Saccharomyces cerevisiae S288C: one gene and its partner. The protein of the gene in region 2 interacts with the protein of the main gene of each other region in a biochemical or structural test. Each region holds a gene or a part of one and is shown on either strand. Other genes may lie near its edges.

Region 1 (4,403 bases), on a different chromosome or scaffold from region 2:
TTGGCAATCAATGAAGGGCATGAAGGGTTTGGTCTTGCCTGATCATTTTTCGTGTAAATTTATAGCGCCATGTAACCAAGTATTTTAGAACGTCTTTTATTTAAACCTTTAACCATACAACACTTGCCCAAGGAAGAGGAACAGAAGGATTTTTTAATTTGTAAAAATGCGTTTAATCTTAACGAAACATAATACAGATTTCATGTGCATTTCGCCCTTTTTTTTTATGACAAGCAATATCTTCCAAAGTTTCTCAAAAAGGTATGATGTAAGATACAGTAAATGATATGTAAAAAAAGTACAAACTCCACTTATAAAACCATATTGAAACAGCGAATGGTTATAATATTTTACATAAAGATTAATAGAATACACTTACCTAAGAAAAATATCCGTGAAAACAAATTACAAAATTAAAAGTCACTTATCACATTAGAAACTCAAATACGAAAACAAAACAAAGAAAAGTAACAAAAAGTGGTTTGAAGACGGAAATACGATCATTCTTTCCATTCCCAACATGTCATGATCTCTCCATTTTCTTCAAGAAGATATAATTCTATATTCTCTGATTGCTCTTTCATGATTTTTTCTTTCGTTTGAGCCCATAGATTATTCTGTTCTTTTATATTTGGTATGTCGCTCAATAAAGTAGCTCTTAGTTGAACTGTTGTCAGAAAAGGTTCTTCACCTTTGTTCTTCTTTACATCTTTCAATTTATCAATTGCCTCTTTTACCAATTTCTCAATTATCTGCTCTCCTTGAACGTAATTGTCAAGTGTCGATTGTATTTTTTTGATAAGGAAAAGGACGCCTAGGGTGATAAATAAAGAACCACCATATTTCGTTATATACTCCTGTATATCCCCTTCTAAATGACATTGCAACGTAACCCATTTTTTTGAAGTTGAACGATAAATATAGTTAGTGTTATTAGATTTAGATTTCTCTCTTTTTCCATTAGTTTCAAAATCTAATGGCAGCCAGATAATATCATCTTTTTTCTTTAATATTTCAAGCACATTTTTCCAATGATCATTGAATTCCCTTTGACTTTCCCATGACGGTCTAGAATGAGAGAATATATCATATAATTTGGTTTCCGTTTCACCACTCTCAAAGAGATTCTCTCCTTCACCACATTCATGTTGTGCATTCTTCTTTTTAAGATATTCATTTACTTTCCAAACCAGTTCATCAACCTCCTTTTCTTTACTTTCATCTTTGGCACAATATTTTGGAAAAGGAATAATACCATACGTTTCTAAAATAGAACTTTTAGGCTCATAGCCTGGTTCACACTCAACATTCATAAAAGAAGAACATATTCCATGCTCAGGACATTCGAGACAATTTGGTCGATAAGCTTGCAACACTGAATCTACCCTTTCAGTCTGAGGGAAAGCTGAGATTGCAAGAGATTTCAGGGGCTTTTCATGACCGCAATATCCTACTTGAATTCTCTGTTCTCGATACCAAAGACCAAAAAGAATAGGACATATTATTGAAAGGAAAATAGCACCATTCCATAACCAAATGAAGAGATGTGCAATAAACGGTTTCATAATATCTATCCCTCTTTTAGTTTTGTTGGCAATGAAGTGCCTGGTGCGACCTTTTGGACTTCGTATATTTTTTTTCGACGATAACCTACTAGTATCCTCTTCGTCTTGATTATCAAAAGTTTCTGATATTTTTGTTAGTTCTTCTTTTGCTTCCTTCACCTCAGGTTGGACTTCCAAATTGATATTCTCCATCACCTCACTTTCATTTCTTGTTTCTGCTCCAGTTGAAGGACCAACAGGCTCTTCTGTTTCGATTCTGATAGACGATAAGTCCGTGGATTTTATAGAATGATCATAATTCTCCGTAGCTGCACTAGCTAACTCTTTATTTAGTTGAGCTAAAAATTCGTTTGATACTTTTAAATTCGGCAATTCTGGTTTTGGAAGCTCTTTTACCCTTGGTTTGTCATCCGAAGAATCTTTCTTATGAAGTTCTTCTACAGTTTCCAGTTCAGAAGTTAAATCAGCAGAAGTTGCTTTCCCATCTGACTTAGATTGTGGAGGAGACTCTGGTGGTTTATTGGCCTTACTAGATCTTTTCTTTCTTTTCTTTTTAGGAGACTTCTCTTCCTGTATTTGCATCTTCGCTTCATTATCCGTACTAATTTGTTCCCTTTTCCTCTTGTTAGTTTCAACATTTTCATCTTTGACAGTTTTACTCTCACTAGAACTTGATTCAAGCTTTTTACTCTTTAATGTCTTTTTGCGATCTGCGTTTTTTGCCCCAGACTTCACAACCTTTTGAATGCTAGTTCTAACCTTTGAGGCCTCAGGTGAAGATTGGAGACGTTGCCTCACTTTCTCCTCAAACAATTTCACCAAGACAGGCTTCCTAGCGTTGGCAGGGAACGCAACATCATTTTCTACCAAAACTCTTCTCAATTGGCTGACCTTCAGCGTTTTCGGATCAAGGTTTCTGTGATCCATTGTCGATTAGTGAAGATAGGAAACTTCCTTTTCTACTATTATGTCCGTTAAAGTTCATCCTACCGTTTCTTTGCTGTTAAAATCTCTCTTCTTTTTTATTTTTTTCAAACTTATCTCTTACTATTTATGGAAGGACGATCAAGAAAATGTATATACTATCCCTTCCCCTACGCATACAGAATATATTAAAATGAATAGATAATAGAAACATATACCGATTGTAACATGAGTTTCGTCCCAGAATATAAATTGCTTGAAAAATTTAATACTATTTAGTAAGCAGGATCACTATCGTCACCAGAAGCCCGCAATGTGGCCAGATATTCTCCTCTTGATATCTTGTCCTCAATGGCCTGAATGGTGTAGTCACTAAGAGTTTCTTCATAGGGACCCAATATTTCCACTAGCGTTGTTTTTGAACCGCTTTTGCCATCAGATTTGCATCGAGATGTATAGGGCTTGCCTAAAGGAATTATCCACATAAGTATGTTAGAACCCATAAAGTCTTTTATATTAGCTAAGATTGACTTTTTGTCCCAGAAAGAGTGAAATTCAGATCTATCGAACTCTACCACAAACCTCAACTTGTTTGCTTCCGAGTAATAACAAAATATCTTCCTTGTTCCAAATTTTTTCCTTTTGCTATCTATGATAGCCTCCAAAGACGTCTTGTTTTGACTCATGTAAAAAATACTCGATGCCAACAAACTTGCGGTTAATAACCATCCAAGGATGGCAAACACTAACGTTGAAATTATATTTGCGTTTAAATTGGGGCTATAATTATGATTGTGTTGAGTAATAATTCTTATGTAAACGCAAATAGACACCCACATGATAAGTAAAAGTGTTGAAAAATAAGCAGCAAACTGCACAAAGAGTCTATAATTGTCTCTACCAATAACAGTCCCTATCCACATGCAGTAATGATCAAAGCGAGGAATGCAGTGGCCTAGTTCTGAAGAATGATGCGTTCGTTCCATTTTCAGACTTTGACATTCACTGCACCATATTGGGTATCCGTGAGGATCAGACTGATAACACTTAGGCGGAACCACAGCATCGTATTCCACTGAAGTGTTTTGAGAAGTGTTGCTAGTCTTCTCTTCAGAGGCTATAGGAAGGATCAAAAAAGGTGCTACGTGCGGTTGGGTACCTGGACCGACCAAGATAACTATTTGAAGCCATATGAAAATCACGACTACGTCTAGGAAGCATACCGCACAAATAAGACCAACCGAAACTGATTTCTGACGAAGTCGTTTGTCGACTTGCTCGTAACATAGTTTATGGCAGTAAGCCCACGTACCGTAGCACAGTAAACCGAGCACGATAATCGGTAAGATGAATCTAAACCATGACCTGCGCCTGATTCGAATATTCCATGATAGAGCCATTCATATACAACGGTTTAATTTCTGCCGTGTCGCGATGAAAGGACCTTAGCTAGGTTCTGAAAATATTACAACGGGCAGATATACGCCTAATTAGTTGTTTTGTTTGAGTGCTGTGTTTATGCTACTATTATTTAAAACGTAAATAGTGGAAAAAAAAATCGACTAAATGGTCCAAATCGGGCCGTTCGCTCGTAAATTTGTTCTTAAGCACTAATACTAAAGAGAGTATACAACAGAACAGACGCACAAGACAGCACTCATCATCAGCTAAGAAACTGAACTGCTTGTTAAAATTTGAGTTTGTTTCCTCTTAGGATTTGCAGCATTAGTGGGCCCCCGCACACAAGTAAATATAAGTGAAAGAAAAATGCTTATGGATGAGTATGAGGAAAACAAGGACATGTGTCCGATCTGTAAGACAGATCGATACCTTTCTCCGGATGTGAAATTTTTGGTGAATCCTGAATGCTATCACAGGATCTGTGAGTCGTGTGTTGATCGAATATTTAGTCTC
Region 2 (4,248 bases):
ATCGGCGCCAAGCATTAACATATTACAGAACGGTCTACTCGAATGTTCTATCCAAGGTAATAGCCTTTCTCGTGAGCAGGATCCTTGGGAAACCTTTATCAATGGGTTACAATCAGTCTTTAAGGGTCAAGTAACAAAGAGGAAGTTATTTTCCAAGAGCAATGAAGAATATCAAAGAGTCAAAAGAATGATTCAGAACGACAAGTTGGAGAGGAAGTATGTTTTTCAAAATACTAATGACCCGCAAAGAAAGCCACAGAAGTGGAAGCAGTTGACAGTTACTGATAATGTTAGTTACAAGAGTCAAAAGGGGTTTCTCGCCCAGAACTACTGTACTCTACAATTGAAACTGCCCAATGGTTACACAATCTCTAATACTTTCCCTCCTCAAACAAAATTACACAAAGTAAGGATGTGGTTAGACTATAATTGCTACGATGATGGAACACCTTACCTTTTCCACAGAAATATACCAAGAGTGACTCTTACGCGAAATGACGAACTCAAAAGTTTGCAAGAGTTGGATCTGTTGCCCAGATCGACTCTCATCTTAGAACCGCTGGAAGCCAATAACAAAACATTCGACTACATGGAACAATCTTCTCTTCTACACAAGGTTTACTCAGGTTTGACATCTTTTTGGGCGAAAGAACCGGAAGTAGATGCTTCCTCCTCCCGTCTTGGTTACCAGAGGTTGGGCACAAATGTGTCAAACAGCGCCAACTACTCTTTACAAAAATTATCTAGCTTAGACATGGTGTCGGACGGGGGAGGAGGAGGTGGTGGTGATTCAATGACTCCTTCAGCATATACTACCCCAAGGATGTATCCTTCTAATGGTACTTCTCAATTGCGACAAAACGTGTCTGAACTAAACTTGTCTTCCAATAATTCTGCATCTAATACCAAAGTTCGTACATTAGGTTACTCTAATAATAACGGCAACAATTAAATGTGCTTTTGTTTATTTCCTATTTGGTTATTCACACATATTTTCTTTCTTCCGTCTATTAAAATATTCATATTTATTTTTTATTTATACATATATATTTATTTATTAGTCACTCAGTTCGTCAACGTGGTTGTTCTTCCATCATGATTTTTCTTATCTCATTATCGTGGTTTTCATTATCTTGCACAGGTCCTTCATTTGTATTTATCTTCAGATTATTCAATCTCTTTAATAGATCCTCGCTACTGCTTTCTTTTGGCTCGTGCAAATCCTGGTTCTTATTTTCTTCCTTATTATTATTCTTTTCATCAAGTTCTAATTGTTCTAATTCTCTTTCAATTTCTTCTTCTGCTTCTTCGTCTTGACCTTTATTATAATGAGCTAATAAATCATTGACCTCTTCGGTACGGTCATGACCCTCTTTAATCTCATCTAGTAAGTCTTCTACTTTTTCGGTAGAACCAATATATCCATTAATTGACTTAATTACTTCGTTGGATTCACTTAAAGTTTGAATTAAAACCGCATTAGTAGCACTGGTGTCTATTTGAGTTCTTACTTGAGCGAGGTTATTTTGAAACTTTAGTAACCTAGAAAGATGTTTTTCAGATAGTAATCTCGCCTGTTTATATTCAATCCTTATTCTCTTCGGCAGCTCATTAAACTCTGGTCCTCTCAGTTTAATGTTAGATTCATTAATTTCTTTTCTTAGCCTTGTAATTTGTTTGTTGATGTTTATAATACCCACTTTAACACTAGCAATTCGAAGGTCATTTTCTGTGATGCCTTTGGAGAACCTGCTAGTAATGTCTTCTACTTCAGCGGCAATGACTTTGATAACATTGTCTTTTGAAACTATTATGTGCTTATAATTCTCTATAAAGTGCAGGAACACGTTTTTCGTTTCTTCATCATAGGTTGAAAAGAACGACTGCAAACTTTCTGTGGTCACAAATTCATTCCTTGTGAATACTAAATCTGTAATAGATGAAGCCTCCATAAAAACACTTCTTTTGAGTAATTCATGAAACCTTTGATACTCTTTTTCCAAATTTGCTTTGATAATAAATTTGTCTTCTCTCAAGTAGAAATTTGTTTCATCCTTCCGGCTTTTATACATGTTTGTAGACTCCTTCCAACTTCTAACCCACTTCCAAAATCCTTTTCTACTGTTGTCAGTGTACATTCCACCAAGATTGAATAATTCCATAGGTATCAAATTTCCTTCATTAACAAGAACGTCAATTGCTATATCAATGCTTTTCGGTACGCCATAAACTTCATGAGTTAATTCTTGCAAAGTCCTTGTCCCTATAGTAAATATGATTCTGTTGGAGTTGCTGATGTATTGTTGCAAGAAGAAATCCCTCCATGTACTGATGTTTGCTTCGTACCCATCGGGATTTAAATCTTTCAATGGCCTAAAATCTCTATATAAAGATGGTAGTCTGGATTCTGGTAAATCTACTTTCATTCAGATACAGTGAGATACTATTTGGCTGGCTTTGGTGGTGTTTTGCCAGATATAGTTTAAGAATTTAAAACTCCTCTTATTGTCTCTACTAACGCTGCACTTCATTGAGTTGTATGGGTGTATCAATAGTGTGCTTGCCCAAACAAAAATGTTATTATATAATAAATGTTGATGAAATCTATTTGTTTATTATATATACCAATAAAAATACATAATTGTGTGTGATTAACTATAAATACAAAGAACCAGCAGATACGATATCTCTATGAATTAATTTCAAGACAGCTTCCATCTTCTCCTTAAGTGAAGAGTTACCAATGGTATTGGCGACGTCTACCAGCTCCTTCACCAATTCCTCTAATCTCTTGAACATTCTGATCAACGAACCTTCGTAAACGTCGGTCATTTTACAGATTTGCGTAAAAGTAGCTCCTCTACACCATTCGTAAACAACTTCCATTAGTTCATGTCTGAAGCTTTCAACGTAGTCCTTTTCTACAACTTCAATTTTAGAATCCTTCATTATCTTAGCGATCTTTGCTGCAATTTCTCTCATAGCCTTCAAAGGTTCGGCAAGCTCTGGTTTCAATCTAGGCGCTTCTTTACAGCGTTCTTGGAATGCAAAGCATGATAATAATGCTGCTGCTTGTTCCGGTTTCAACTCATTGAAATTACCATTGAAGATCAATTCTGTTAGTAACAGTTCATCACCACTAGATATTTCACATGCAACTCTACCTTTCAGTTCAATAATGTCATTAGGAGTACAAAATCCTAAACGGCGCAAAACTCTTTTACGGCGACGAAGATCGTCCAGTTGGATTACGGCTTGTGATTCTGAAATTTTGCGTTTCAATTGTTTCATATCTTCATGTAAATCGTGTTTTCTACTATATTTACCATATAGTTCTTCTAGTCTCATGGAATTGGTTAAGGGATTGGAGGATAACTTTGTGTTTAAAACGTCAATCTTCTTCATTAGCTTTAAAAAGTCCTCATCTTCGATCTTCATGTTTTTAACAGGATCCAGCACGGGAATACCATCCGGGAACCTCCGATTAACCTCCCTTAAAGACTTCCCAACAGTTTCTTTTTGACCGCTGGCTCTAATATCTTTGGGCATATATAGTCTCAAATTACCAATCGACTTGATTGAATCCAAAGTTATGGGAATAACAGCACATATGCTTTTTTCACCTTCTTCCGCTGGGCGAATCCCTTCTGGTAAGGTAGGGTTGAAAGGTTTCAACAAGTTGACTGGAGAGTCTATATACATGGTATTGACGACCACATTGACAATATAGGATTCATGGTCTGTATAGACAGCACTTGGGTTGCGTTTGTTAATTCTTTTAGCAAAATCGACAACAGCACCCCAGCCATAGTTATCCTTACCATTGACAGAGATTTCAACTAATCTGCCTGGTTGTAGGAAACTTAAGGCGTTTGCCGGATGGGTGACAACTTGACGAACATCTTCACGGTAACCTTTGATAGCCTGCTCAATCTCATGGTATTCTTTAACATTTTCTTCATCTTCGACTTCGATGCCATCAAAGTCTTTTTTCAGTTCAGCAAGTTTCTTTTCCATAACTGGTACTGAAATAACGTTTTGAAATTGGAAGAAAGAATGCTCCAACATAAACTCCGGAGAGATACCTTCAACTCTCATTAAGTTCAAAATCATATTATATCCTAAGTGAAAAGCCGAGTCTAGCCTATCTGCTTGGCCCTTAACCATTCCTTTAGCAACTTGAGGTTCCATTTTTTCATCAATCATCATAATAACAATACCACGATCATCTAAACCACGACGACCTGC

What was found.
Region 1: the proteins of CHM7 (region 2) and HEH2 form a complex in vitro, tested with the Saccharomyces cerevisiae proteins (one study listed by BioGRID).

What each region holds. Positions count from the first base shown.
Region 1 is NC_001136.10:1,379,555-1,383,957, forward strand, and holds HEH2 (Heh2p), read right to left. Parts: upstream 2,493-4,403; coding exon 501-2,492; downstream 1-500. Other genes in the region: E3 ubiquitin-protein ligase TOM1, read left to right, coding at 1-42; palmitoyltransferase PFA5, read right to left, coding at 2,765-3,889; TFIIH/NER complex subunit TFB3, read left to right, coding at 4,257-4,403.
Region 2 is NC_001142.9:344,151-348,398, reverse strand, and holds CHM7 (phosphatidic acid-binding protein CHM7), read right to left. Parts: upstream 2,427-4,248; coding exon 1,074-2,426; downstream 1-1,073. Other genes in the region: UBX6 (Ubx6p), read left to right, coding at 1-952; ATP-dependent RNA helicase MTR4, read right to left, coding at 2,656-4,248.